3 linked regions of the Callithrix jacchus genome follow. The protein of the gene in region 3 purifies or fractionates together with the protein of the main gene of each other region. This does not show direct contact. Links are inferred from orthologs where the notes say so. Each region holds a gene or a part of one and is shown on either strand. Other genes may lie near its edges.

Region 1 (9,879 bases), on a different chromosome or scaffold from region 3:
AGCCTCCCGAGTGGCTGGGATCACAGGCATGCACACCACACCCAGCTAATTTTTATATTTTTAGCAGAGACAGAGTTTCACCACATTGGCTAGGCTGGTCTCAAACACCTAACCTCAGGTGATTCACCTGCCTCAGCCTCCCGTAGTGCTAAGATTACAGGCATGAGCCACTGCATCTGGCCTAGTGAACTATTTTTTTTTCCTTTTTTCAGGAGGTTATTAATGAACTATTTTTATAACGCACAAATTAGCCACTGTGATTAAAAATCTGTTTTCACATCATTTCAGTTTATGGATATATTTGACATTTTATCACATAGTTTTTTAAATATCCAATCAAAAAATCAAGAACCTCACTCTTACACTCTGTAGTCAACTGCTTTGTACTCACTTTGTTTCCTAAGTGAGTGATCTTCAGAATTCCATCTTGCCACACTTTTGACTTCTTCATCTTCTGATGAGTATATAGGACCTTATTTCCAAAAACACACAAAAAAAATGGTTCCCATTATATATATTCAATGTTATATATTTCATATATCCTTCCTACATATGAAATATATTTCAGGCACCTTTCATCAAAAAAAGGCATATACACCCATATCAATTTTTTAAATTTTAAAAACAGAAGCACAGATATGATAATAACATTAAACATTAATTAAGTGAAAGAAAAAGGGAAGGAAGGAAGAGGGAAGAGAGGTAAGGAAAAGAAGAGGGAGGGAGTAAGGGAGGAAAAGAAAGGGGAAGGAAGAAAGGAGAGGAAAAATCCAAGGAAGAAACAAAAAAGATAAATGAGTACTGAAAGTAATTTGAGCTCCCTAGTCATCCGTGAAAAGGGAAAAAATTATTGAGTTACACAGTACTTATAATCTGTGCAGTTCTCAAAGTTTGGTCTAGAGACTCCTGGAGGAGTCCAAGACCTTTACAGATGTCTGTGAGGTGAAAACTATTTTCATCATGCTGTCTTTTCATCCTCACTCCTTCAGGATTGCAGAATGAAGTTTCCCAGGATTATGTATATGCAATATTGCAAGATTCAATTGCAACCTGAATGTAGAAACAAATATGAGACTCTAGTTGTCTTCTATTAAGTCAAATCATAAATACTTTTTACATATTTGCTTTAACTTACTTCTAATATGAAAAACATCAATAGATGTGAGACCTACATCTCACAAGTTCTTTGGGGCCAATAATTGTCTAGAGTGTTGAAGAGTCCTAAAACCCAATCATGTGAGAACCAATCATCTGTACAGAAAAGGCGTGCCAGTTCTTTAAGAGAAGAAATTGTTTTCCTGGTCTCACACTTCCAAAGAATAGGTTCCAAAGGACTTTGTCTAATACTTGATCTTAGCCAAAAGGCTGAAAAGTGATGATTTTGTGTCACAAATATAAATAGCAGGTACAGGTAGGGTTGCCAGAAACATATGCCAAAAAATATATGCATTGTTTATATGAAATTCAAATTTAACTTAGTAGCCTGTTTTTTGTTTTGTTTTTGCTAAATCTGTCAATACAGCAAGACGTTTGTGAAGCACCTTTAAAAGAAAGAAGGAAGAAAGGGAGACAGGAAGGGCATTTCAATTGTGAAAAATGGTAAAACTTACAATAAATTCTTGGCTTTCCATCATTTCTTCTGAAGTTATAAACTGCTGGGTCCAGAAAATAGGAAGTAGTTATTCAACTATTTATACAACCTAAAATTAAAAATGACATAAAATATCAACCTTGATTTTTTCAAAGTATCAAATATAATTTTTCTCAATAAACTCTTAACCACAGACAGACATGAATCAACAAATTCCAAGACTACCTAACTACCAAGGAAAACGGAGTTGTAATAAAATTATCTATCACTGAGGACACAGTGAAAGTGATATGCTATGAAACAAGAATTTTTTCACAAGAAAAAACTAAGTAAAATATATAAACTAATTTGGAGTCTGCAAACGTTTTTCCAGGTGCCATAATATGCATCAGAAAATACAAATTTGTCCTCCACATTTGGTTCCTTATGGTCTAAATTTAATGTTTAAAGTTTTCTGAATTGCTATAGCCACCACAAGATGGCTCCCTTGTGTTTTAAATTTTTCCTTTCACATCTTACATCAATATACCACAGTATCTAGGAACAAATATATATTATATAGTACCTCTGCAAGGAAAAATCTTTCCAACACTGTTGTAACAGTTACTGTAGTCATGCTATGCTATTGGACAAAATTGTTATTATGGGAAAATTTGGAAATCTAAAATCACTGATGGTGACCTGAAGAAGTAAACAGAAATGCCAAAGAGACGTATTCTCTTTTTTTGTTCCTAAAGTGGTGCTAAAGATGTGACCCCTGGACCAACAGTATCATCTGGCTCACGCCTGTAATCCCAGCACTTTGGGAGGCCGAGGTGGGCAGATCATCTGAGATCAGGAGTTCAGACCAGCCTGGCTAACATGGTGAAACCCTGTTTCTACTAAAAGTACAAAAATTAGCCAGGTGTGGTGGCACGTGCCTGGAATCCTAGCTACTTGGGAGGCGGAGGTTGCAGTGAGCCAAGATCACGCCACTGCACCCCAGCTTGGGTAACAAGAATGAAATTCCGTCTCAAAAAAAGAAAAAAAGAAAGAAATGACCTATTAAATCAGAAAGTCTAGGCTTGGGGCCCAACAGTCTGTGTTTTAAGAAGCCCTCCAAGTGATGGTGATGGAATCTCAAGTTTGAGAATACAGGCCGGGCGCGGTGGCTCACACCTATAATCCCAGCACTTTGGGAGGCTGAGGCAGGTGGATCACGAGGTCAGGAGATCAAGACCATCCTGGTCACCGAGGTGAAACCCGTTGATACTAAAAATACAAAAATTAGCTGGGCATGGTGGTGCGCGCCAGTAGTCCCAGCTACTCGGGAGGCTGAGGCAGGAGAATTGCTTGAACCCAGAAGGCGGAGGTTGCGGTGAGCCAAGATCGTGCCATTGCACTCCAGTCTGGGTAACAACAGCGAAACTCTGTCTCAAATAAAAAGTTTGAGAATACAGATCTAAAAAACCTAGAAGGATTCAATAAAGCTATCATGTGTAATTTGAGTTCAGTTCCTCCTTTAGACATATAAAATATGCCACTTACATATTATTTATAAGTTATATATATTTATTAAGACGTGCCAGACATTATGCTAGGCTAAAATATTTAAATGGAATCTCTATACTTCATCTCAACGAATTTCAGTATGGCAGAGTGATAAACAGTAATTTTAATAAAATATGGCAGGAGTAAGCACAGGAAGGGCACCTGGCTTGGTGTTGATCATCAAACAAGCCTTCTTCAAGGAAGTAAAATCTAAGTTGTAAGCTGAAGTAACTATTAGTCAAGGGAAGGCCAATGAAGGTCTTCCCAAACAGGAATTGATATGCCTGATGAGGGCGCTCTAATGCAATTAAGGAGTGAAGTGCAGGCCAGGCACAGTGGCTCAGGCCTGTAATGCCAGCACTTTGGGAGGCCAAGGCAGGTAGATCACCTGAGGTCAGGTGTTCGAGACCAGCCTGGCTAACATGGTGAAACTCCGTGTCTACTAAAAATACAAAAATAAGCCGGGTGTGGTGGCAGGGGCCTGTAATCCCAGCTGCTCGGGAGGGGACGGCAGAGAATTGGTTGAACACTGGAAGTGGAAGTTTTGCAGTTAGCCGAGATCGCGCCACTGCACTTCAGTCCGGGAGACAGAGCAAGGCTCAGTCTCAAAAAGAAAACCCACATCTCATTTTCAAAGATTCTAATAACCATAATCCTGTGTCACCAAATGACAATGGAGATTTGATCCTTTCTCGGTCCCAAATACAAACAGCAAAGCCCTCTTTGGTCCTCATACACACTCGAAATTGCAAAGCAGGCCCTGGGAAAAGCGGTGAACAAGAGGCACAACTTTTTACAAGCAGTTCGAGCAGCTGCGATCACCATAATCATGGTTCCAAATAGTATCCCTCCCGGTTCTCTTATGGAGCAGTCTTTCGTCCCTTCGCCCCAAATCCCCCAAGTCTCCCTGCCTATTTACCTTTCATTCCTAGGAAATCCCGAGTAACACCTTCACCTCACCTGTCAAATTCCACAAAATCCACTTTCGAATTTCTCCCGCGAAACAGTGTGACGTCATTAACACGGGACCGTACCAGATGAGGACCCAAGATTTAGCCCGCCCACCTCTGTCTCAGCCAAAAACCGACACTTTCAACCCGCCAATCATGTTCTTCCTCGGCTTTGAGCCCCTCAGCCGGCCGCGTTCTCCGATGCCCCGCCCTCCCGGAAACCACCTCGCCTGTGACGTAGGTGGCGCGCGCACTGCGTCCGGGCCTGTCTTTCTCGACTGGGACCGAAGAACGCTGTCGCTTGTCCTATGACGCGAAAGTAACCAAGACTGTCGGGATCGGGAGGCTGAAAGAACTGAAGGCCGCAGTACTTGACCCTTTATTTTGGGAGTTGAACGGAGTAAGTTACAGGCGGCCTATATGGTCGCTCAGCTTGCGCGAACTCGAAATAACTCCGTTCTTTTTCTCGCGGTCTACTCTATCATCTGTTGTCCTTCTTACCCCGCCCCCCTCACGCGCTCCCATCAGTTCCTTGGCCAAGTTCTCTATGCGCACGCGCCAAAGTCCTCCGGCAGCATTTGTAGTTCCCGTCTTCCGAGAGTGGGGGCGCTTAGGGACCCTGCGTGGGGAGGTTTGGGGCGCGCCGAGCAACTGACGGCGTCCGTGCGGAAATACGGATGCCGACAGAAGCAGTAGTCAGTAAAGAGAGTGCCTTATTTCGCAAATCGGAGCTGAGCTATGGCTGCCAGAGGATAACGAACGTGAGGATTTATATTCTAAAATTATCATCTTCGTTTGCAGGACTCTGCCATCGTCCTCAAAGCGTTAAAAGTCCAGTTATGGAAGGGAACTAACAATAAATGCTAGATACGGTATGCAGAGTGCGTTAGTAAAGAAACTTAGAGAAAACAAATGAGGAGGCAATTAATTAGAGACCACATGGTGGTGGAAGACCTCAAAGAGTAAGCTGCCATTTAACCTGGATCTTGAAAATCTAATAAGGAAATTGAGAAAATTCAGACAAGGTAAAAGACCCAGGCCACTTAGTGTTGAAGGATTTGAATTGTAGGCAGTGACTAGAGCAATGATTCTTAACCTGTTTTTGGCACACTTCTTTTGAAAACATAGTAAACGTTATGGATTAGTTTCTCAGGAAAACATACATGTTCACCTGTTAAAACATTTTCGAGGCTTGACACGATGGCTCACGCCTGTAATCACAGCACTTTGGGGGACCAAGGCGGGCAGATCACAGGAGATCGAGACCACCTGGTCAATATAGCAAAACCCCGTCTTTACTAAAAACCCCAAAATTAGCGAAGAGCAGTGATGCATGCCTGTAGTCTCAGCTACTTAGGAGGCTGAGGTAGGAGAATCGCTTGAGCCCAGGGAGCGAAGATTACAGTGAGCCGAGGTCGTGCCTCTGCACTTCAACCTGGGCAACAAAGCGAGGCTCCGTCTCGAAACAAAACAAACATTTTAGTCCAGACACGGTGGCTTACGCCTGTAATCCCAGCACTTTCGGAGGCCGAGGCTGGTGGAACACCTGAGGTCAGGAGTTCAAGACCAGCCTGGCCAACATAGTGAAACCCCATCCTTTTTGTAAAAATACAAAAATTAGTTGGGGGTGTGGTGGCGGGCACCTGTAACTTCAGCTATTCGGGAGGCGGAAGCAGGAGAATTGCTGGAACCCGAGAGGCAGAGGTTTCAGTGAGCTGAGATCGCACCATTGCACTCCAGCCTGGGTGACAACAGCAAGAATCCCTATAATTTCCTCAGAAAAAATTATGAAATACTTTTTTTTTTTTTTTTTTTGAGACGGAGTTTCGCTCTTGTTACCCAGGCTGGAGTACAATGGCGCGATCTCGGCTCACCGCAACCTCCGCCCCCTGGGTTCAGCAATTCTCCTGCCTCAGCCTCCTGAGTAGCTGGGATTACAGGCACGCGCCACCGTGCCCAGCTAATTTTTTGTAATTTTTAGTAGAGACAGGGTTTCACCATGTTGACCAGGATGGTCTCGATCTGTTGACCTCGTGATCCACCCGCCTCGGCCTCCCAAAGTGCTGGGATTACAGGCTTGAGCCACCGCGCCTGGCCACGAAATACTTTTAAATAGCAAACACACACACACAAATGTCTTGGTGTCAGGCTCACTTTTCCAGGTTATCTATGTATAATCTTTTAACTATTTTACAACTGTTTAAGCTGTAGAAAGCAATACGGAAATTAGGTTTGTCCAATAAAGATGCAATTAATTATTGTCCTGACTAGTATTTATTAATATTTATTTCAACGTTTCTAATTATGTACCTGCTTTTTTTTTTTTGACAGAGTTTTGCTTTTGTTGCCCAGGCTGGAGTGCAATCTTGAAATCTCGGCTCACCGCAACCTCCGCCTCCTGGATTCAAGCATTTCTCCTGCCTCTGCCTCCTGAGTACCTGGGATTATAGGCATGTGCCATCATGCCCAGCTAATTTTTATATTTTTAATAGAGATGGGGTTTCTCCATGTTGGTCCTACTGGTCTTGAACTCCTAGCTCAGGTGATCCACATACCTCGACCTCCCAAAGTACTGGGATTACAGCTGTGAGCCACCACAGCCAGCCTGAACTGGTTTTTAACACTTAACTGGTTTCCTCATTTACAGTCAGGCACTACATAATGACAGACCACATGTATGACAGTGGTCCCATAAAATTGTAAGTGTGTAGTAGCTGATACTACCTAGGTTTGTGTGAATATATCATAGAATAACTGCACGCTCTGTGATGTACTTACACAATCACCTGACTATGCATTTCTCAGAATGTGTCCCTGTCATTATGCAACCCATGACTGTCCTTAAATCTTTACCATGAATTCATTTTATATTTGTACAAGAGTCTTTTTTTTTAACCTTATCTTTAATGTGTATCATTTAACAGTTTAATGGAGCCCCCAAGAATTCTTGTCCAAAGTTACATGGACTTCAGGTTAAGAATTCCTGAGTCAGGCCGGGCGTGGTGGCTCACGCCTGTAATCCAAGCACTTTGGAGGCCAAGCTGGGCAGATCACCTGAGGTCTGGAGTTCAAGACCAGCCTGACCAACATGGTGAAACCTCGTCTTTAAAAAAAAAATTGAAAAAAAATTTTGAGTCAGAACATAGAGTCCATGGTGATAAATTGCAGGAAATTCTACCAGAAGGTAGACAATCTGGGATCAAACATACCTGAGACAACTTACTTAGCTAGCTTTGACCAAGTGACTTAACCTTTGAGTCTTAAGAAGATGGAAGAACCAGCCTGACCAACATGGCACCCTGTCTCTACTAAAAGTACAAAAATTAACCATGCATCCCAGAGGCGGAGGTTGTAGTGAGCCAAGATTGTGCCACTGTACTCCACCCAGGGTGACAGAGCAAGACAGTGTCTAAAAAAAAAAAAAAAAAAAAAGGAAGAAACTGCTACCTTGTGGGATTGTGAGGATTTACAAAAATGTATATAAAGTAACTGGTGGTGTTACATGGTAACTTTTATTCCAGTAAAATGTTACTTTTTTTTTAAGCAATGTTTTCTTAAATTGTGTATTATGTTACAGGAAGGTGCTTAGGAATTTCAAATGTTGCATGTTTTGACATAAGCATCACAAAACCAAGTCTGTATTTTAGATGGGTTATACATAGGCTCCTGCTGAGAACAGATGACTTACAGAACAGTTTATAAACTGTGGCCATATTCTAGTGACAGTAGTTGCAGAAAACACTGGATGGAGATGAGGAGCCATTTCAAAAGTCAAACTGATAAGATTTAACAACAGATTGAATAGAATAATGGTTACTTATTGTGTTCTGTGTATCAGCAATTTGAAGTACTTTATTTTCATTATTTTGGCTAATGCTGACGACTATTACATAGGTATGATTTTTATCCATGTTTTATAGACCACAGAGAGATGGTGTAACTTCCTCAAAATCCACACAGCTAATAAATAGCTTGATTGGTTAATTTTTGGTGGAATATGGCATCCTTAAATAAGTTGAAGGAGGCCAAGGTAGGTGAATCACCTGAGGTCAGGAGTTCAAGGCCAGCCTGACTAACATGGTGAAACCCCATCTCTACTAAAAATACAAAATTAGCCAGACATGGTGGCAGGCATCTGTAATCAGCCTCCCAAAGTGCTGGGATTACAGGTGTGAGCCACCATGACCAGCCGAAGAAAGTATTTTCAAGGAGGAAGTTACCAACTGCATTTGCTGCTGAGAGGTCAAGTAGACCAAGCCCATTGAGGACTTTGCAGTATCTCTAGAATGGTGCAGAGGAAAGCCTGACAGAATGGGTTGAAGTAAGACCATTAGGTGAAGAACGTGGTTATGTGGTACTTAATGACACCTGATTGTTTTTCTATTATTCTGACCTGTAGCTGTGTTTTATGTCTTAAATTAGCATCACCTAAATATGATATTACTTGGATATCTTCAAACTTGGTGCTTGACTGATCTACTGAAGCCTGTTCTAAAATGCCAAAATGTCCTTCTGTTGATGAGAATGCATGTTTAGTTGGAGATTTGAGGTGAAATGCATTAAGGGCTTTGGACCCTCTTACCAGCTATCAGACTCAAGTGATTCAAATACTATGTTTACCAAAGAAAGATACAAGGCAAAAGATAGGGTAGATATAGCTTCTTCATCCCAGCAATGGCCAAGCCATTATATCTAGCAATTACCCAGATTCGTTTCTTTTTTCTCCCATTTACCCACAAGAGGCATGTATGGCTTCCCTAGATAAGGACCAAGGTGTGTTTAGGATAATTTGACACATAAAAGCTTTAACACCTTTTGCCTGTCAATCTGTTGTTCCGGTCACATAGGTATAAGGCCTCCATGTCATTCAATAGCTGCTCCAAACCAGGTACAACATGGGAAACAGATACAACACTCCCCATTGGTTTCTCCAGTTTCCAAGAAGACTGTATTATGGGAGACTGAGGTTATTCTCAAGCAGGCTGTGTTATCCCAGACCGGATCCTTTGCTCATATACCTCAAGTGATTCAATTCATTCAACAAAATGTAGGCACAATTTATTCAACAGATTTTTAAGGGACTGTTGTGGCAGGGACTGACAATCTGTCAGTAAACAAAACAGACAAAAATCTCTGATTTCATTGATCTTACATTCTAGGAAAGAAAATGAATTGCAAAGTAGTTGTAGTAATGTTAGATGATAAATGCTATGGACGAAAATAAGACATGGAAGTTACCATGTATGTGTCCAGAAATTTGCATTATTAAATATGGTTGTGGGAGGAGACTTCAAAGAGGTGACCTTTAAATAGGCACTTGAGGAGGTAGGAGAGCAAGCTGTTATCGCTGGGGATATGTGTTTCAAGAACAGGTTTAGACCTGATAGATTTTGCTGGGTGAGTTTCAGGAAGTACAACAAGGACAGTATGACTGGAGCTGACAAAGCAAAGGGGAAGAGCTATGCAAAGTAACTTGAGGAAGGAGGGGGTTAGAAATTGCTGCCCAAGAGGCCAGGCGTGGTGGCTAAGGCCTATAATCCAAGCACTTTGGAGGCCAAGGCAGGCGGATCACCTGAGGTTGGGAGTTCAAGACCAGCCTGACCAACATGTGAAACCCCATCTAAAAAAAAAAAAAAAGATTAAAAAAAAAGTAAAAAAAGAAATTTCTGCCTCTAGAAAGCATAAATTAACATTTTAAAAATCAAAATCAATAATCAGTTTATTTTTATTTTGTCCCATAAAGGTTATAATATTAAAAATCTGAATAGGCCGGGCACACCGGCCAATGCCAGTACTTTGGGAGGCCAA
Region 2 (9,879 bases), on a different chromosome or scaffold from region 3:
TTGATGCTGGTTGGAGAGACACTAGGCCAGGAGGTCAGTAAAGAGACTAGGCAGGAATAAATTGTCCTCGGGAGGGAATGGAAGAAAGAAGGGAGCCTAAGTGCTGATTTCTATTCTCTCTCTTTCCTATGCTCTTCTTCTAGGAACCACACTCGAGGGGTCATTTGTCCAGACCTGAAGCTCAAAGTCTCTCTCCTTACACAACCAGCGCCAACCGGGCCAAGCTACTGGCTAAAAACAGGCAAACTTTCCTACTTCAGACCACGAAGCTGACACGTCTTGCCAGACGCATGTGCAGGGACCTATTACAGCCAAGGCGGGCTGCCCGACGACCTTATGCTCCTATCAATGCCAATGCCATCAAAGCAGAGTGTAAGGGCAGGGAGCAGTGGGGCTGGTGGTTTAGGGTTGCTCTGCCCAGAGACCAGTGTTTCTCTGGATGTTAAGATTAGACTTGGCTCCTGGCCTCAGAGGAGACCTGAATGGTGAAGCCCTTCAGAAGCTTTCATCTTTTTTCTCCAGGCTCCATTCGACTTCCTAAGGCAGCGAAGACTCCTTTGAAGATTCATCCTCTGGTGCGGCTGCCCCTGGCAACTATCGTCAAAGATCTGGGTATGGGATGGGTACCAGTGAGGGTGGCGTCAGGCTTCCAGTCCCTTCCCTATCAGACATCTCACCCCTTGCATTTTTTCTTAGTGTCCTTAGAGAGTTAGTCTAAAAAAGTGCACTTTCGTTGTTTAATAATTTTTTTGGTAAACTATTCAGTATTGCTGTATTGATTTGATAAGGTCATACTGATACTTGAAAAATACTAGTTAGCTTTTTTGCCAGAACCTTCCCCCATTGCTACTTTTGGGGATGCCCAGGTAAACTGCTGGTCCACGGAAGAGAGATGGAAGTAACAAAGGGGAACTGTGTAGGGAAGTAAAGGTGCAAAACTTTACTATTTTTTTTTTCAGTGGCCCAGGCACCCCTGAAACCAAAAACACCTCGGGGTACCAAGACTCCAATCAACAGAAACCAGCTGTCCCAGAACCGAGGACTGGGGGGCATTATGGTGAAACGGGCCTATGAGACTGTGAGTTGACAGAAAAGGGTGGGCCAAGCTGAATTGGGCGGGCTTTTGTTTCTCATAGGAGTCTGAGAGGGTCCTTTCCCTCACTGTGCCATCCTACCCTTTTCCAGATGGCAGGGGCAGGGGTTCCTTTCTCTGCCAATGGAAGGCCTCTGGCTTCAGGGATTCGTTCAAGCTCACAGCCAGCAGCCAAACGTCAAAAACTAAACCCAGCTGATGCACCGAATCCTGTGGTGTTTGTGGCCACAAAAGATACTAGGTAGGCAGTCCACCGTGGGAGGGGCTAAGAGGGATGGTCCAGGCTGGTGAGTGTGGGGAGTAGCAGTATCAGAGCATGAGCTCCAGGAAGATTGTGGATGCAGGGTGGGGATGCCAGAGGAGAATGGGCCAGAAGGCAGAACTGCAGTGGGGAATGTGGGGCTTCCCCTGGAGGTCTTAAGTGTTCTCTAAGCCTTTTCTGTTTCCCACTTGCTCTTTCTGGCCAGGGCCCTACGCAAGGCTCTGACCCACCTGGAAATGCGGCGAGCTGCTCGCCGACCCAACTTGCCCCTGAAGGTGAAGCCAACGCTGATTGCAGTGCGGCCCCCAGTCCCTCTACCTGCACCCTCACATCCTGCCAGCACCAATGAGCCTATTGTCCTGGAGGATTGAGCACCTGTGGGGAAGGGAGGTGGGCTGAGAGGTAGAGGGTGGATGCCCAGGGCACCTGAACCTCCCTTCCCTTTCCTGTCAAAGGGAGTGAGGAGTGAATAAAGGAAGGGAGCAAGTGTGTGTGTCCCTGGAGGGGTTGGGCGCCCTCTGGTGTTACCACCTCGAGACTTGTCTCCTTATGCCTCCGTGCTTGCTGATGGAGGACAGACTGCAGGAACTTGGCCCATGTGGAAACCTAGCCTATTTTGGGGGGTAGGACCCACAGATGTCTTGGACAGTTTTGGGGGGGAAGGGTTTTTTAATTTTTTAAAAATTTTGCCTCCCTTTGTGAAAGGGGATGGGAAGGGGAAGAGTGCACAGATATCAGGTGGTGGTACCTGGTTGGGGGAGGGGGGCGTGCACTGCCATGTCTTTTTTTTTTTTTTTTTTTTTTCCTAATTGGGGGTTTCTCTTTCTGTCCGGTGTCCGGACTTTCCTAATTGGAGTTTGAGGCCCCTAAGCTGGCATCAACCCCAGGCCACGCTCGCTCTTTCCTTCCCTCCCCTCCCCCTCCGCCTTTTGTACGCCAGTTCTCAGAAATAAAGATCTTTTGTCCGTTTTTTTAACCTCGGATTCTGTAATTGGTTCTTATAGTAACAAATAAAAAGCTGTTTTCTTCAGCTTCTCCTGGCTCAGCTGTTCTCTGCCATGGGTGTGTGTTGTGTGTGTAGGGGGTGTCTTTGAGAGAGAATAAAGGACAAAGGACAACAAGGGCAGCACAGATGGTTCTTACCCTGGGAACAGCTTTATGAGATATGCAGCCTGGACAGAGGTGACTTGCTCCAGCTAGCCTTCTGGTGGGACCCAAATTGCTCCCTAGCTCCCAGTGGTGCTGGAGCCCAAGCACCAATTGGCCCAGATTCGTTCAAAGGAGTTGAGATGAGCTTTCTGGGTGGCTGGTGGCCTCCACAGGAAAGGACACTGGAGGTGTTTTTTCCTCTGTTTCCTACCTCTTACTCCCCTCTCCCTTTTATTTAAGGAATTCTGGAAGTTGCTAGCAGCCAGGGTGAGATGTATAACACCTTGGTGGTGGTGGGGTTAAAGGAGGATCCTTTCACCTAGCTGTGTGGTGTTACTTGGCAGGTGAGAATTCTACCACTGAACACCTGAGCACCTCTGGGTGTATGTTTACAGCCTGCTTACTGCCTCAGGAGCCTCAAGGCCAGCCTTAGCAACTGCCTTGATATCCTGATTCACTGTAACACCATTTCCTGCTTTAAAGGTTTGGGACACTGAGATTAGATGCCTGAGTTGGGCCCATTAGAAGGAACACCTTAGGGGAGAGAACAAAAAGTTCAGCCTACTGTGTGCTCCTTGGGCACTTCCTTTAGAGATGGGGAACAGCCTCAGCACTTGCGACTTGCTCGCTGTCGCCTTAAGTCCATTTCTCTTTGCATCATTCAAAGCTGTGGGCTGATAACTACAGTACAAGCTGCCGAGCCCACATGATGGTCCTCTGCACCTTGTTATGGTCCCTGTCCCTAGGGCATCCCCAGCTCCCGTAGGTAGCCCCTCACTGTCCCGAGCCTTCATCTCAGCGGTGTTCGGAGGAACTGACAATTATACCTGCTGGGGTTCAACAGCATTTCTCCCCTCCAGTGTCTTTACTAGGTTACCAGCACTCGGTTTTGTCTTGTCGCACTGTCGCACTGCTCCGAGGTGCGACAGTGGCTCTGGCACCTCCGGAGTACACCACGCAGCCCAATACTGCGGAAGGAATGGTCCTGGCTCCCGGGACCTCATGGAGTCCGGAAGGTGCCCGATAGTGGCAGAGCTCCCTAACTAGGGCTAGAAGCAGTCGCAGAATACCCGTTTTGCGAGAGGACAATGGGAGGAAAGGGAGGGAGTACCAGCCCTGAAAAGATTGGAAGTCCAGGGACAGTCCTGGGCTCCGTGGGGCAAAGGACTGAAAGCCGCCGATCCTCCTCCGCCTTTATTCGTCGGGCAAATAAGGGTCGAAGGTAAGGAAGCACGAGTGTTTACTGCTGGGAGAAGGAGGGGCCGCGAGACACCACCCAGCGCCGGCCTTTGTGGCTGCTGTCATAAATATTTACGCCCTTTGGGCCAATCGGCGTCTGAACAGTTTAGAGCACACCAATCGGCTTACTGCATGCAGATAAGCATCGTAAGGCGCGGCTTTTCCCAAAATGGGCGGGGACTTGACACCGGCTAGAAACGGAACCCGGAGTAGCTGGAGCTTGGTTTCCGGAGGAGTTTGTCCGCGCAATTGGAAGACTTTTTGTCACTTCCTATCGGACGGGCGGAAGTTACTTCCGAGCGCGTTGAGCTTTGGAGAAGTGGGTTCTGGTGGTGGCAGAGGTGCTTGTGTATTTGTCGGTACAGGAGAGTCGCTATGGCGGCGGTGGATTCGGATGTCGAATCGCTGCCGCGTGGGGGTTTCCGCTGCTGCCTGTGCCACGTTACTACAGCCAACCGTAAGCGGTGGCTAGTGAGGGACCTGGGTGGTTACGGGCTTTAGTCTTTTGATCCTGGCGAAAGTTAGGGTTATAGGTCTTCGTTCCTGTCAAGTCGGTTGGTAGGGTCTCACCTCCGTTTTTACTCCGCAAGTTCGAGGGGATTTGGAGAGTCGAGAAAGTCCCACCACATTACACTCCTCCTCAGTATATGACATCTCCACGACGCAAGTTTCATTGTTTTATTCCTTCTTTAACCGTCATCTGTAGGACATATGCTCTGTGGCTGGTATTCTGCTGATCTTTAGGGTGGGGGAAGGGGGTTCAGAGATGGAGGGGCTCACCCTCTAGAGATGGAGAAAGTTTCAATGCTTTGTAGTTATGTTTGGAGAACTGTGGGACCACAGAGAATCGGTAACTAAGTCAGAGAAGCCCTACAGAGGACTTACTCAAAGGTGGGGACGGATGAAATAGGTGGCATGAATGACTAGACCATAAGGTACCAGTGAGAAAGAGACAGAAGATGGGTTTCGAAAAACAGACAAGGTTCTTGTATGACAGAGAAGGAGTTTATCAAAACCGCAAATTCCACTTTTTTTTTTTTTCCTTCTGAAACAGGCTCTTGCTCTGTCACCTAGGCTGCAGTGCAGTGTTGTGATCTTGGTTCACTGCAGCCTCAACCTCCCAGGCTCAAGCCATTCTCCTGGTTAGCCTCCCAAGTAGCTGGGTGGACAGGCGCGTACCACCACACCTGTCTAATTTTTTGTTTTTCTGTAGATACAGGGTTTTGCCATGTTATCTAGGCTGGTTTCCAACTCCTGGCCTCAAGTGATCTTCCCCTCTTGGCCTTCAAAGTACTGGGATTACAGGCGTGAACCAAAGTGCTGGCCCCACTTTTGAAGTCTGGAATCACAGTCTTCCCTGTGGGTCTACTTCCATTCTTCCTTTTCTCTGTGAATGGCACTATCACTGTTCATCCAATAGGCCAGGCCAGAAACCTAGGCGTCTTCCTTGGCCCCACATTTACTTTGACATCAAGCAGCTAACTCATAATAAAATAATAGCAATGGCTAGTTTTTTGACATTTACCATGTACGAGACTCTCCAAGTGATATATATGAATAATACCTGTGTGTTTGGTGCTAGGTACTTTTATTTCCATTTTATATCTGAGGAAGTAGGTGCACAGAGAGGCTTTGTAACTTGACCAAGATTTCATACAGCTTCACAGAGTTGGGACTTGAACTTGGGCAGTGTGATTTCAGATCCTGCCCTTGACATCACTATACCATACCATACCCAGAGATGACCCACGAAGTATTCCAGGATCCTAATACTTTTTGTTGTTGTTGTTGTTTTGAGATGGAGTCTTGCTCTGTCACCAGGCTGGAGTGCAGTGGCACGATCTTGGCTCTCTGCAACCTCCACCTCCCGGGTTCAAGCGATTCTTCTGCCTCAGCCTCCTGAGTAGCTGGGACTACAGGCACGTGCCACCACGCCCAGCTGATTTTTGTATTTTTAGTAGAGATGGGGTTTCACCATGTTGGCCAGGATGGTCTTGATCTCTTGACCTCGTAATCTGCCCGCCTAGGCCTCCCAAAGTGCTGGGAATACAGGTGTGAGCCACCGTGCCTGGCCTGAATCCTAGTATCTAGCTTTTCTGTGGATGACCTGGATAAGTTACCTGTTAATTTCTTTCCAACTCTACCTAGCACAAATAGGTGGTTTAAGCTATACTGTCGCACTGGTCTTTAAGTAAAAATTAAAAATAAAAGTAAACAAAATACTTGTGTAGCCAGTTCTCTTGGGAACCACTTAGAAAATGTACTATTTAGGCCAGGTGCGGTGGCTCATGCCTGTAATCCCAGCACTTTGGGAGGCTGAGACAGGCAGATCACTTGAGGTCAGGAGTTCAAGACCAGCCTGGCCAACATAGTGAAACCCTATCTTTACTAAAAATACAAAAATTAGCCGGGTATGGTAGCAGACGCCTGTAGTCCCAGCTACTCAGGAGGCTGAGGCAGGAGAATTTCTTGAACCTGGTAGGTGCAAGTTGCAGTGAACTGAGACTCTGCCACTGAACTTCAGCCTGGGTGACAGAGTGAGACTCTGTCTCAAAAATAAAAATAGAGAATGTATTATTTAGACAAAAGTATAAGAGAGGAAGGTGAAAGGAGCCAGGACTTTGCTTATTCAAAGGTCAGTTTCTGTGGCTTGGAAGGATCAGAGGATTAGGTATGCAGAGAGCAAGGGTAGACTCACTAAAGAGTGCTTTGGGAGTTTTTGTCTCACACTTGTCTTTGCAGGACCCAGCCTCGATGCCCACTTGGGAGGCAGAAAGCACCGGCACCTGGTAGAACTACGAGCTGCGAGAAAGGCCCAGGGACTTCGAAGTGTATTTGTCAGTGGCTTTCCCAGGGATGTGGATTCTGCCAAGCTCTCTGAGTACTTCCAAGCATTTGGACCTGTGGCCAGTATTGTCATGGATAAGGACAAGGTAAAGTGAATGGTTCCGGGGGTAAAGAATGAATCAGGGCTGGGTGTGGTGGCTCACTCCTGTAATCCCAGCAGTTTGGGAGGCCAAACAAGGTGGGCGGATCACCTGAGGTCAGGAGTTCGAGACCAGCCTGGCCAACCAACATGGTGGAACCCCATCTCCACTAAAAGTACAAAATTTAGCTGGGTGTGCTGGCACTAGTCTATAATCCTAGCTGCTTGTGATGCTAAGGCTGGAGAACTGCTAACTAACAAAACCTACAGGAAAGCAAGGCAAAAAGCACGAGCTTGTTTATCTAACACTCTCCGAGGGACAGGGTGTTCTAACCAAACAACCTCAGTACCTCTCAGTGGAAGTTAATAAACTGCTAACGGGTTAACAGTTACAGGCAGACATTGCAGGGACCCGAGATCGCACCACTGCACTCCAGCCTAGGTGACAGAGCAAGACTCATCTCAAAAAAACAATAGTAAAAATAAAAATCCAAGAGGAGGGGAGGTGTGAGAAGCTCCCAAAGCTGGACTAGCCCAAGTGCTGTGATGTCCATCAAGAACAAACCACATTAGGAACCAGCTCAAACAGCCTGTTAGTTTCTCTCTCTTGTCTCTCTGGTACACAGCACATCTGATTCTTTTTTTTTTTTTTTTTTTAAGAAGGACCCTTGCTCTGTCACCCAGGCTGGAGTGCAGTGGCACAATCTCGGCTCACTGCAACCTCTGCCTCCTGGGTTCAAGCGATTCTCCTGCCTCAGCCTCCCGAGTAGCTAGGACTACAGGCACATGCCACCACACTCAGACTCCTGACCTTAGGTGATCCGCATGCCTCAACCTCCCAAAGCGCTGGGATTATAGGCATGAGCCACCACACCCAGTCCTACCCCTTGAATTTTTTCACTCCATCAGAGTTAGTCAGTGGGGGATTTTGTGTGTGTGTCATTTATTGATTCAGTGAATTGTATTTTTTGAGATGGAGTCTCACACTGTTGCCCAGGCCGGAGTGCAACGGTGTGATCTCTGCTTACTGCAACCTCCGCCTTCCAGGTTCAAGTGATTTTCCTGGCTCAGCTTCCTGAGTAGCCACGACACCTGGCTAATTTTTTTTTATTTTTAGTAGAGACAGGGTTTTGCTGTTGTTGGCCAGGCTGGTCTCAAACTCCTGACCTCATGAACCACCTACCTCGGCCTCCTAAAGTGCTGGGATTACAGGCATGAGCCACTGCGCCCGGTTCAGTGAATTCTTTTTTGCCGAATATTTATTCACAGCTAACTTTGTACTAGGCACGATGCTTAGGGCTGCATTCTGAGTAGTGAATGGGATAGATATGGTCCCTGCTCTCATAGAGTCTGTAGTCTAGAGGAGAAAGTGAACAATTAAATAAGTAATTATAGTGAAAAGTTGGTACTTAAAGCACAACATACCATTGGATCAACTCCACAAGAACCTGGTTGATAAACCAGTTAGCAATTTATTAACTTCCGCTGAGAGGTACTGGGGTTGTTTGGTTGGAACACCCTGTCCTTCGGAGAGTGTTAGATAAACAAGCTTGTGCTTTTTGCCTTGCTTCCATGTAGGCTTTGTTAGTGTCCCTTTAGTCCCTTGAAAAAACTTCACCGTTGAAGTGCTGTGTTCCTTGGTCATACTGTGGTTCTGAGGCTGCACTCTCGTTATGTAGGCATGGCTTAGGTAATCCCAAATATCCCTTTGCAGCCCAGATTATCTTTTAGAATGGGGTGGAGTCTGTGTTTGTTAGGGATTGCATTCAGCAACCAAACTACAAATGGCTTAAACAATAGGAAGTTGGCTGGGCACGGTGGCTCACGCCTGTAATCCCAACACTTTGGGAGGCCGGGGTGGGTGGATCACGAGGTCAGGAGATCAAGACCATCCGGGTCAACATGGTGAAACCCTGTCTCTACTAAAAATACAAAAAATTAGCTGGGCATGGTGGCACATGCCTGTAATCCCAGCTACTCAGGAGGCTGAGGCAGGAGAATTGCCTGAACCCAGGAGGCGGAGGCTGTGGTGAGCCGAGATCGCACCATTGCACTCCAGCCTGGGTAACGAGTGAAACTCCGTCTCAAAAAAAAAAAAAAAAAACCAATAGGAACTTAATTTTTCTCATGTAACAAGAAGTCCAGACCTGGGCAGTTCGTGGCTTTGCTGTTTCCTGCTCCTGCCATTATTGGCACGTGGCTCCTTAGTATATAATAAGCCCTCAACAAATAGTAACTCTAGCTATGGATGGTGACTAGTGGTTGAGAGGACAAAAATGGCAAGAACACAGGCTCCTTATTTTTACTTGTTTATTTATTTTTGAGCTGGAGTCTCGCTCTGTCGCCCAGGCTGGAGTGCAGCGACAGAATTTTGGCTCACTGCAAACTCCACCTCTTGCATTCAAGTGATTCTCCTGCCTCAGCCTCCCAAATTGCTGGGATTACAGGCGCCTGCCACCACGCCTGGTGAATTTTTTTGTGTTGTTTTTTTGAGATGGAGTTTTGCTCTTATTGGCCAAGCTAAAGTGCAATGGTGTGATCTCGGCTCACTACAACCTCTGCCTCCAGGGTTCAAATGATTCTCCTGCCTCAGCCTCCTGAATAGTTGGCATTACAGGTGCGTACCACCATGCCCAGCTAATTTTTAAAATATATTTAGTAGACATGGGATTTTACCATGTTAGCCAGGCTGGTCTCGAACTCCTGACCAGCCTGGCAATCCGTCCGCCTTGGCCTCCCAAAGTGCTGGGATTATAGGCATTAGCTACCACACCTGGCTGACACAGTCTTCTGAATCTGCTAATCCTGCCCTCCCTGATGCTTTCTGTGAGGTTTTGTAGAAATATAGAAGCACAGACAAGGCCAAAGGGACACTTACTTTCTAGCTGGGGCTTTGGTTACAAGCTTGGTGTGGTAATGAAGTCTGGTAAACTGTGGTTTCTCAGAGTCAAAAGACTGGCCTGGGTGGGTCCAAGTAGCTACCTTTGTCCTGACTTCGCTTTGGTTCTTTGCTGTGTTTGGCATAAGGGTGAAAGTAAGACTGGGCATGAAGGTGTGCCCTGTAATCCCGGTTACTGGGGAGGCTGAGGCATGGAGGTGTGCCCTGTAATCCCAGTTACTGGGGAGGCTGAGGCATGGAGGTGTGCCCTGTAATTCCAGTTACTGGGGAGGCTGAGGCAGGAGGTGTGCCCTGCAATCCCAGTTACTGGG
Region 3 (9,779 bases):
CTCTCACTCTCCCGCACTCCTCCTCCCTTTCCACGTACAGAGCCTGTGTGTTCTCTTACTCTCCCGCACTCCTCCCTTTCCACGTACAGAGCCCGTGTGTTCTCTCACTCTCCCGTACTCCTCCTCCCTTTCCACGTACAGAGCCCGTGTGTTCTCTCACTCTCCCGCACTCCTCCTCCCTTTCCACGTACAGAGCCTGTGTGTTCTCTTACTCTCCCGCACTCCTCCCTTTCCACGTACGGAGGCTGTGTGTTCTCTTACTCTCCCGCACTCCTCCTCCCTTTCCACGTACAGAGCCTGTGTGTTCTCTTACTCTCCCGCACTCCTCCCTTTCCACGTACAGAGCCTGTGTGTTCTCTTACTCTCCCGCACTCCTCCCTTTCCACGTACAGAGCCTGTGTGTTCTCTTACTCTCCCGCACTCCTCCCTTCCCACGTACAGAGCCTGTGTGTTCTCTTACTCTCCCGCACTCCTCCTCCCTTTCCACGTACAGAGGCTGTGTGTTCTCTTACTCTCCCGCACTCCTCCCTTCCCACGTACAGAGCCTGTGTGTTCTCTTACTCTCCCGCACTCCTCCCTTCCCACGTACAGAGCCTGTGTGTTCTCTTACTCTCCCATACTCCTCCTCCCTTTCCACATACACAGCCTGTGTGTTTTCTTACTCTCCTGTACTCCTTCTCCCTTTCTTTTTCATGTATAAATGACTTGCATGTGCCTGTGTTTCACAAAGCCTCAATTGTTCAAGTATGTCATGGCCACGCGCAAAATGTGGCTGAAGAGAAAACATGTCGAATAAGAAGATTTTTCTTGAAAAAGAATTGATTGTGTGTCTTTGGATCAGTAAACATTCAGCACAGCTGCCTCCATCTTCTGCATTTATCTGCATTCTTCCAGGGACTGATATTTGGAATAAGAAACCTGAAATAGCACCAGGCACTAAATTTTTCCACTTTGGTTGTATTAACTCTACTCAGCAGCCTAAGAATGTGACTTCTGGTTTGGAAGGGTGGTTAACAGTGGTCACTGGCACAGGTGACCTCTTTCGCTCAGTTCCTGATTGATGGGCCACTTAAATTCCCTGTGGTCTAGGAATGGATTTAGAAAAGGGTTTATGGAGCCTTTGTCATGACTGCCATGTACTGGCACTTTGAGCCAGATGAGAAGACTTTTGTTCTGCTCGAGAAGTTATAGAGCCCGTAGTGTATTGGCTCTGAGTGAGGATTTGGTGATTCTTAGTTAATGTAGCCAGCTTTGCCACAATTTATTTTATTTGCAGATGTGTTGTGGTTCCTGTCACTAACTAAATTCAACTTTAATACCTTTTCCTGTACTCCAGTTGCAAGCAGAGGCACCAAGGCTGGCAGAATATCAAGCATATATTGATTTTGAGATGAAAATTGGCGATCCTGCTCGCATTCAGTTGATCTTTGAGCGTGCCCTGGTTGAGAACTGCCTTGTCCCAGACTTATGGATCCGTTACAGTCAGTACCTAGTAAGATAACTGTTCTAATTTCATTTTACTTTTGCCAATTTAGACTCTACTTAGAGAAAATCAGTAAGAGTGCCAGGAGTTTGTTGCATATGGCCCTGCTCTTGCTTTTCCTCCTCTTTGCGAACTCGTTTAGAAAGTTTCAGCGTTTCAAGTTATTTTAAAATTGCCACTAACTGTAAGTAAAATTCACATATAGTCTAAGTATGTTGAGGACTAACGACAAATTGATATTTTTTCTTTGAACTTTTTATTATGGAAAAATTGTAAACATATAAAAGTAGACAGATCAGTAAAATGAAACTTCCTGTACCCCTCACCCAGCTTCAACAGTTATTAGCAATTTAGCTTTAATTTACTTTCATCTGTTGTCTCGCCTACTTGCCCCTTCTGTGTTACTCTAAGCAAATCCAGAAGTGATATTTCATTGGTAAATATTTCAGTATGTATATACAAAATATTTCAGCGTGTGTGTATAAAAGCATCCAAATGAAGTATATCCAGTAGGATTGGCTGATGTCTCTTAAGGCAGTGTTAACCTGTAAATTGCTTCTCTCCCTCTCTTCTCCCCCACTCTCCCTAGTGATTTTTTTTTTTTTTTTTTTTGCTTAAGAAACAAGGTCACAAGAGATGTTTATAAGGACATTTCTTTTGTCACTTGTTGTGCTGGCAATGTTTTGTTGATTGGTGAATTCTTGACAATAAAATTTAATTTCCTAACTCTGGAATTCTTTATCATAGGACCGGCAGCTGAAAGTAAAGGATTTGGTTTTGTCTGTACATAACCGTGCCATTAGAAACTGCCCCTGGACAGTTGCCTTGTGGAGTCGGTACCTCCTGGCCATGGAGAGACATGGAGTTGATCATCAAGTAATTTCTGGTGCGGATGTTTTTGTGGGAGAACTTCTAAGCTATTTGTCCCAAGTGAGAAATAGACCTGGGACAAAGTCATTAAATCAGTGTTCCCTGGGGTTATCTTTGGGTTATGGAGTGTAATGACAAAAAGGGCTCTGAGTGAGAGATGAACTGGTTATATTTGTGGCTTCTTAGAGCTTTTTAACATGCTAATATTTATTGCATTTCCTGAGAAGTTGTAGTTTTTTTTCTCCAAACTTCCTTGACCTGGAACTCTTCTTGCAGGGCGTCTCGTGGAAGAAGTTTTTTCTAGAACACAGTCTGTAGAGTGCTGTAGCAACTTCTTTCTTAAACTTTCCTGTCTAGCTCATTTCTTTCTGTTACATCTATTAGTCTTTAAAGTCATGTAGTCTTTTATAGTCAAGTCAAATGTAGTAACTTTATTAGCTTCCGTTTGAATTGGTAACAAATCCTGACTTTTTCTCTGACTCCAGTAACCTTTGAGAAAGCTTTGAATGCTGGCTTCATCCAGGCCACTGATTATGTGGAAATTTGGCAGGCATACCTTGATTACCTGAGGAGAAGGGTTGATTTCAAACAAGGTATGTAAGCACATGTGTTTCACTTCAGAACTGATCATGGTCTTAATACAGTTTTTGGCGAGATGCCCCAGTTCCCCAGATATATTGTGATTGGGCAGATGATGTAGACCAGGCATGGGTGACTTTCCCCCCAGAAATCTTAGCAATTTATGTCTTTAACAAGTCATGCTATGGATTGTAAAGCAAGAGAGTAATGGTCGTTACATTTTATACTGGCTCTTGCCAGTCTCTTTAGTCTTAGCTCTCATTTCTCCCTTCTGGCCTTTTTATTTATCCTAAATACTTCTTGAAATAAGACTGCTGTGTTTTAGAAAAATCTTTGTACCTCTTTGGGATCCTCTGCCCCCCTATTCCCCAGAAAACAACCAGAAAACCCCTAACTTGTACACTTGTGCCAGCTGTTACCTCATGCAGGTAACCTTTAGCCGTTCTCCTGTTTGCCTGTGTCACCCCAGCTAGGGGAGACTCCCCACCACAGCATCCTGTGTTTGCCTCTGTCACCACGCTGTCCATACTCTATTCTAATTTTTTCTCTTCACTATGTGATGAGGGCAGGAATTGGCAATTTTATTTCTGTGTCCCTTGCATGATGCCTCCAGTACATAATGGGTCTCCAGACAGTTTCAGCGTAGGATAAAAAACAAAACAAACAATGCCATGCTATATGGTTTCCTAAAGCCTTTTTTTGCTGTTTCCACTAGACTCAAGTAAAGAGCTGGAGGAATTGAGGGCCGCCTTTGCTCGAGCCTTGGAGTACTTGAAGCAGGAGGTGGAAGAGCGTAAGTATGTCCCCGCCTGTGGCTTTGCCCAGTTGTATTTCCTGGTCTATACTATTTGCTGGTTGATGTACCTTTTCAGCCAAAGGCTATTTGTCTCTAAGTTTCTAATTTTACTAATGCTGTTTTTGAAGGTTTCAATGAGAGTGGTGATCCAAGCTGCGTGATCATGCAGAACTGGGCTAGGATTGAGGTAAATGTTTTTGACAAATCTATCACTTTCATCCACTATTGTTTAATAGCATCCTATTAAACCTTAATTAAAATTGAGTCAGAGTCCCAGATAATGGCCTAAGCTCTATAAGGATTTATGTTATTTACCTAGGTAGTAGTGTAGGCTCTACAAGGGTTCATGGTGTTTACCTAACTTGACTCATATTTGTAAATATGTTGGTGAAAATATTAGCTCCCAGCTAGAAGTTGTGTAGTAAATGTCTGAATGCCAGGTATTTACTCATTTACATCCATCTCTGCCTCTTTGCTTCATTTTTGAGAGCACAGTGAGTGGGTACTCTTTGTCAGCACTGTACCACTGCTATGGGAATAAGACAGATACAATTCCTGTGCTAGTAAGACTTCTGTCTAATATGGAGAGCAGATGATTTGACAAGTAATTAGAGGATATGATCATTTGGATGTCATTACTGGGTCAGGGACACCAAGATCAGTAAAACACAAAACCTGCCTTGATCAGCAGGTAGGATTGTAACAATTCTAATCATGTTTTATCCTCTGAGGGAGAGTCAGATAGAAGAGACTTAACATTTGTCAGGTAGTTTCTGTATGGGATGCTTAGGTTTTAACCATTTTAAAGATGAGAAAACTGAGAATTACAGTTTAAGTAATTTGCCCAAGTCACAATTTGTAAGTATTAGTAGCAGAGTGTGCATTTAATACTAGATCAGTCTTTTTTAACATTATCTCCCAAATACTTTTAGTTCCACTTGATAAAAATAAAAAACAGGTCGGGCGCGGTAGCTCAAGCCTGTAATCCCAGCACTTTGGGAGGCCGAGGCGGGTGGATCACGAGGTCAAGAGATCGAGACCATCCTGGTCAACATGGTGAAACCCCGTCTCTACTAAAAATACAAAAAAACTAGCTGAGCACGGTGGTGCGCGCCTGTAATCCCAGCTACTCGAGAGGCTGAGGTGGGAGAATTGCCTGAACCCAGGAGGCGGAGGTTGTGGAGAGCCGAGATCGCGCCATTGCACTCCAGCCCAGGTAACAAGAGCGTAACTCTGTCTCAAAAAAATAAATAAATAAATAAACAACAACAACAACCAAAAAAAAAACAAAAAAAAGAAAACAAATGACTGTCCAGTAAGTACCATGCACTCCCTCTCTCGGTTCTCAGGAAACGTAGGCAGATAAACTCGTCACTGCAGAAGGGCTCAAGTGTTTGGGCTGGGCCTTTTACCACTAGAGGGAGGCCTGGGAAATGCCCAGGGTCATCTGTAACACTGATAGTCATGGGGTGCTTTTTTTGTTTGTTTGTTTGAGACCGAGTTTCGCTCTTGTTACCCAGGCTGGAGTGCAATGGTGCGATCTTGGCTCACCGCAACCTCCGCCTCCTGGGTTCAGGCAATTCTTCTGCCTCAGCCTCCTGAGTAGCTGGGATTACAGGCACGCGCCACCATGCCCAGCTAATTTTTTGTATTTTTAGTAGAGATGGGGTTTCACCATGTTGACCAGTATGGTCTCAATCTCTTGACCTCGTGATCCACCTGCCTCGGCCTCCCAAAGTGCTGGGATTACAATGGGGTGCTTTTTATGTGTGTCGGTTGGAAGTATGTTGTATGATGGGTGTCAATGTCATAAGGTTTAGGTCTCCTAACAGCCTGTTGATGCACTGTAGGCTCGGCTGTGCAATAACATGCAGAAAGCTCGGGAACTCTGGGATAGCATCATGACCAGAGGAAACGCCAAGTACGCCAACATGTGGCTAGAGTATTACAACCTGGAGAGGTAACTGATCCCGGGGAGGGGAGGGAGGCGGTGCTTGTCAGCTATGCCCCTGTCATCACTCCTCGCCGACTCCTACCAGCTTGGGCAAACTCCGTAGAACTGGGCTGCCTTCTTTCATTCTGTCTTTTTCATTAGTGGGTACATTTTTAATGGATAGGGCTAGAGAACCAGACATCATATTTTGTGCCTGGAACTCTTATAGCCATGCATTTCTTTTCATTTGTTTTTGTTTTTATTTTTGGGCATGATATTTTATTTGACCTTTTGGAACTACTTATTTTTTATTATATTTGCTTTTATAGAAAAGTAGAAAATACTAAAAAGCTAAGAGAAAAAAAACTCAAATTACTAACCCAGTCATAACTGTGCATGACCCATTCTTTGAGACTTTTCTATGCTTAAATTTTTTTGTAATGAAAATGCAGTTAAAGCATACATGTGTTACAAGCCTTTAAAACCTATTTGAATGAAATAAGATATGCCTAGCAATATTTATAACATGGGGAAAACATAAACAGTGTGACCAACTTTTCAGTTTATCTTGAACATTATACATTGTATAACATTGCTACATTGCTGTTTATTTTTGAATATTTTTTCCCTATTTAAAAAACACTGTATGCCCAAGTTAGTCAGAATATTTACACAAATATGTGATAGAAAATGACAGTTTCTTTTCTTTTTTGGGGGGTGGTGGGGAGTCTTGGTCTGTCGCCCAGGCCAGAATGCAGTGGTGTGATCTCAGTTGCAACCTCCACCTCCAGGGTTCAAGCAGTTCTTCTGGGATTAAGGTGTGGTCCACCTTACCTGGCTAATTTTTGTATTTTTTTTTTAGTAGAGGCACAGTTTTCACCAGGTTGGTCATGCTGACCTCAAGTGATCCTCCTGCCTTGGCCTCCCAAAGTGTAGGAATTACAGGAGTGAGCCATCGCATCTGGCCGAAAGTGACAGTTTCTTATCGTCCCACCCCAGAGATAATCACTGTTAAAGCTTGTTGAATATTCCCCTAGATCAGTAGTTCACAATTTTTTTGGTTTCACGATCCCTTTTCCACTCAAAATTGGAGGATCCCAAGAAACTTAGGTATGCGACTTATATCTATTGATATTTATATAATTTATAAATTGAGAAATCTCAAAAACACTTAAATTCATTTAAATATAACAAATCATTTGACATTAATAACTGTTTTAACAGTGACTGTTTTCCAGACCCCAAAATAATTTAGTGAGAAAAGTGGCATTGTTTTCTATTTTTGCAAATATATATTTAGTCTGACTTAGTATAAGACAGCTGAATTCTCATGCCTGTTACTGCATTCCGTCTTTTGTGATCTGTTTTCATTGAAGAGTGTGAAGAAAATTTGACTTTACCCAGATTAAAGGTTAGAAAAGAAAAGTATTTTAGTAGCATTTTCAGATAATTGTGGGTATTCTTTCATACATATTATAGCAAAACTTCAGTGTTGGCATGTGTAATCTGAAACCATATTGACAGATTCTGTTACAGTAATATCCACTTGTCTATTTTATCTCTTATGTGATGCCATAATTCTATGACATTATTTGGAAAAATCCCAATTCACTAAATCATGCAGCTCTTCCAAACGTTGACTTATTTTATTCTATAGTATTACAAAATCATATTTGTTCATATCTGTACTGATTTTAGTAGAAAAGTATTATACGTAGGAAGCTGTCAGACTTGTGGTGGCAGATAAAAGTTTTCCAAAGATTATAATTTTCACTTGAAAGCTTGAATTTTATCACATGCAACAAATAATGTCAGTGGTTTTCCTCAGAGTGGCAGCCTCACTTTGTTAATTTTCAGAAATGTCTGCCAAATACCCAGGTCTGAGTAACTGACTGGTTTGTCACTCAAGTGTTCTTTCGAGTAAAAATGGTGTCTATGAAAAAAGTGGCTTGATCAGCTTGCAACTCAAACGGTAACATGCGTTTCTGTTTTTTGCAATAACCATTTACTTCAGTATGCAGAAGGGCTTTAAGTGTATGTAGCATTTCGTCACACAGTGCATTATTATTATTATTTTGAGATGGAATCTTGCTCTTTCACCTGGGCTAAAGTACAGTGGCACAGTCTTGGCTCACTGCAACCTCTGCCTCATGGGTTCAAGCGATTCTCCTGCCTCTACCTCCTGAGTAGCTGGGATTACAGGCATGCACCACCACGCCTGGCTAATGTTTGTATTTTTAGTAGAGATGGAGTTTCACCATGTTGGTTAGGCCAGTCTTGAACTCCTGACCTTGTGATCCCCCCATCTCAGCCTCTGGAAGTGCTGGGATTACAGGCGTGAGTCACTGCACCAGGCCTCACAGTGCATTAAAAAGATATGTACTGCCTTGATTTGTGCTAAGGGCCACCATTTCTTGTGCACTGTCTTGAAGATGTCAACACAGTGAAAAAGTCCAGTAACATCTTGGCATTTATTATAAAAGGAGTTTTGTCTTTGCAGGCCTCCTAAGAGGCTCTTGGAGATCCTCAGGGGATCTCCAAGGGCATATAGGTACATGGATCCTACTTTGAGAACCAGTGCTCTGAATTTTTTCTGAGTGTCATAATATGTATTTATAATACTTCTGTATATTTAAAATGTTTTAAAAACAAATGCGAATATACTGTTTCATAACAGTTATGACTAACAGAATTGTTGTGTAGCTGTTGTGATTAGCAGTATACAAAAAAGGTCTGTTTGTGACCAGCCTGGCCAAGCTGGTGAAACCCCATCTCTATTAAAAATAAAAAAATTAGCTGGATGTGGTGGTGGGTGCCTGTAATCCCAGTTATTCAGGAGGCTGAGGCAGGATAGTTGCCTGAACCTGGGAGGCAGAGGTTGCAAGTTGCAGTGAGCCAAAATTGCGTCATTGCATTCCCACCTAGGCAACAAGAGCGAGACTCATCTTAAAAAAAAAAAAGTCTGACTCTGAATATGAAATTTGACACTACCCTGGATTCTACTCCCCTTGGGTAGGACTCCATAGTAAAATATCCCTAGGGACTGTATCAGGTTACAGAGAGCTGTTGGATTCCCCAGCCATGTGTGCACATGTGAATGCTGTAAAGGCAGAATGCTGGTTGTAGATCACATTCCGAGATACGCTTTTCAATAGCCCCTACATGGCTGAGGGAGAGAGTAGTTTAGGGAAAGCCTTCGTAGGTGACTAGGACAAAGTATCGTGGATAGATCTGAAAGCTAAGGTCTCAGAAGCTAGAGTTACTGAAGAGTGAATTTCTACCTGGGAGAAGACAGCCTCTTCCTTTGAGTGCCTTTTTTTTTTGTGAGCTGGTGGCAGCAACTGTTTGTTTTCTGCCTTAGGGCACATGGTGACACCCAGCACTGCCGGAAGGCGCTGCACCGGGCCGTCCAGTGCACCAGTGACTACCCAGAGCATGTCTGCGAAGTGTTGCTCACCATGGAGAGGACAGAAGGTGGGACCCCTGGCTCTCTTCTGGCTTGGAGCCTGACCCATTTGCTGTTTGGTATCAAGTTAGGAGCCTGTGGTTACAATCTGGGGACAGACTATGTTTATGCTGCCACCTCTTAAGTGGTGCCTTACGCTTAGACTGTCATGAGTGTCCTGAAAATGAGTCTTCCTGCAGCTTCTGTCAGATTCTGCAGCCACCAGGAGGACTCTGTGATGTCACTCAGCACAGAGTTCTAACTCTTTGTGGGGGGGACTGTGCACTGTAAGATGTTTAGTGGCATCCCTGGCTTGTAGCCATGAAATGCCAATAGCAACCTTCCCCCACAACCAAACATGACAACCAGAAGTTTCTCTCAGCATTGCCAAATGTTCCTTGATAGGCAGGAGCCCTCCACTGAGAGCCACTGTGCTCCAGTGCAGCGTCTGCCCAACAAAAGAGCTTGGAGAGGCAAATGGCTCAATGTGTTCTGTGTTAAATTTCAGAGTCTTCAGTGTTAGAGAGCTAGAACCATTAGGAAAATAATGTGACTTTATCTGTAGGTATTGATCTGGATTTTGGGTATGGACCCCCCAGAACTGGGAATCAAAGACCACCAAAAAATAAATGCCTGAACATTTGAGTAGCTCTTAAAATTCTTCAGTCTTAAT

Evidence for each region.
Region 1: the proteins of SART3 (region 3) and LARP7 purify together in Homo sapiens (affinity purification with mass spectrometry; 4 studies listed by BioGRID and IntAct, counting the BioPlex papers as one, with this or other methods). This does not show direct contact. The link is inferred for Callithrix jacchus from reciprocal best matches to the Homo sapiens genes SART3 and LARP7.
Region 2: the proteins of SART3 (region 3) and TUT1 purify together in Homo sapiens (co-immunoprecipitation; 4 studies listed by BioGRID and IntAct, counting the BioPlex papers as one, with this or other methods). This does not show direct contact. The link is inferred for Callithrix jacchus from reciprocal best matches to the Homo sapiens genes SART3 and TUT1.

What each region holds. Positions count from the first base shown.
Region 1 is NC_133504.1:84,551,373-84,561,251, reverse strand, and holds the start of LARP7 (la-related protein 7), read left to right. Parts: upstream 1-4,338; 5' UTR 4,339-4,471; intron 4,472-4,644; exon of another isoform or gene 4,645-5,096; intron 5,097-6,402; 5' UTR 6,403-6,521; intron 6,522-9,879. Other genes in the region: 5'-3' DNA helicase ZGRF1, read right to left, coding at 392-472, 1,611-1,634. UniProt on the Homo sapiens protein: RNA-binding protein that specifically binds distinct small nuclear RNA (snRNAs) and regulates their processing and function.
Region 2 is NC_133511.1:119,856,933-119,866,811, reverse strand, and holds the start of TUT1 (speckle targeted PIP5K1A-regulated poly(A) polymerase), read left to right. Parts: upstream 1-4,030; 5' UTR 4,031-4,118; coding exon 4,119-4,200; exon of another isoform or gene 4,201-4,390; coding exon of another isoform or gene 4,391-4,406; intron 4,407-6,485; coding exon 6,486-6,676; intron 6,677-9,879. Other genes in the region: metastasis-associated protein MTA2, read left to right, coding at 144-372, 523-612, 960-1,078, 1,186-1,334, 1,561-1,726. UniProt on the Homo sapiens protein: Poly(A) polymerase that creates the 3'-poly(A) tail of specific pre-mRNAs. Localizes to nuclear speckles together with PIP5K1A and mediates polyadenylation of a select set of mRNAs, such as HMOX1.
Region 3 is NC_133510.1:111,416,524-111,426,302, reverse strand, and holds part of SART3 (spliceosome associated factor 3, U4/U6 recycling protein), read left to right. Parts: intron 1-1,336; coding exon 1,337-1,492; intron 1,493-2,230; coding exon 2,231-2,369; intron 2,370-2,838; coding exon 2,839-2,946; intron 2,947-3,647; coding exon 3,648-3,725; intron 3,726-3,856; coding exon 3,857-3,915; intron 3,916-5,578; coding exon 5,579-5,688; intron 5,689-9,022; coding exon 9,023-9,135; intron 9,136-9,779. UniProt on the Homo sapiens protein: U6 snRNP-binding protein that functions as a recycling factor of the splicing machinery. Promotes the initial reassembly of U4 and U6 snRNPs following their ejection from the spliceosome during its maturation.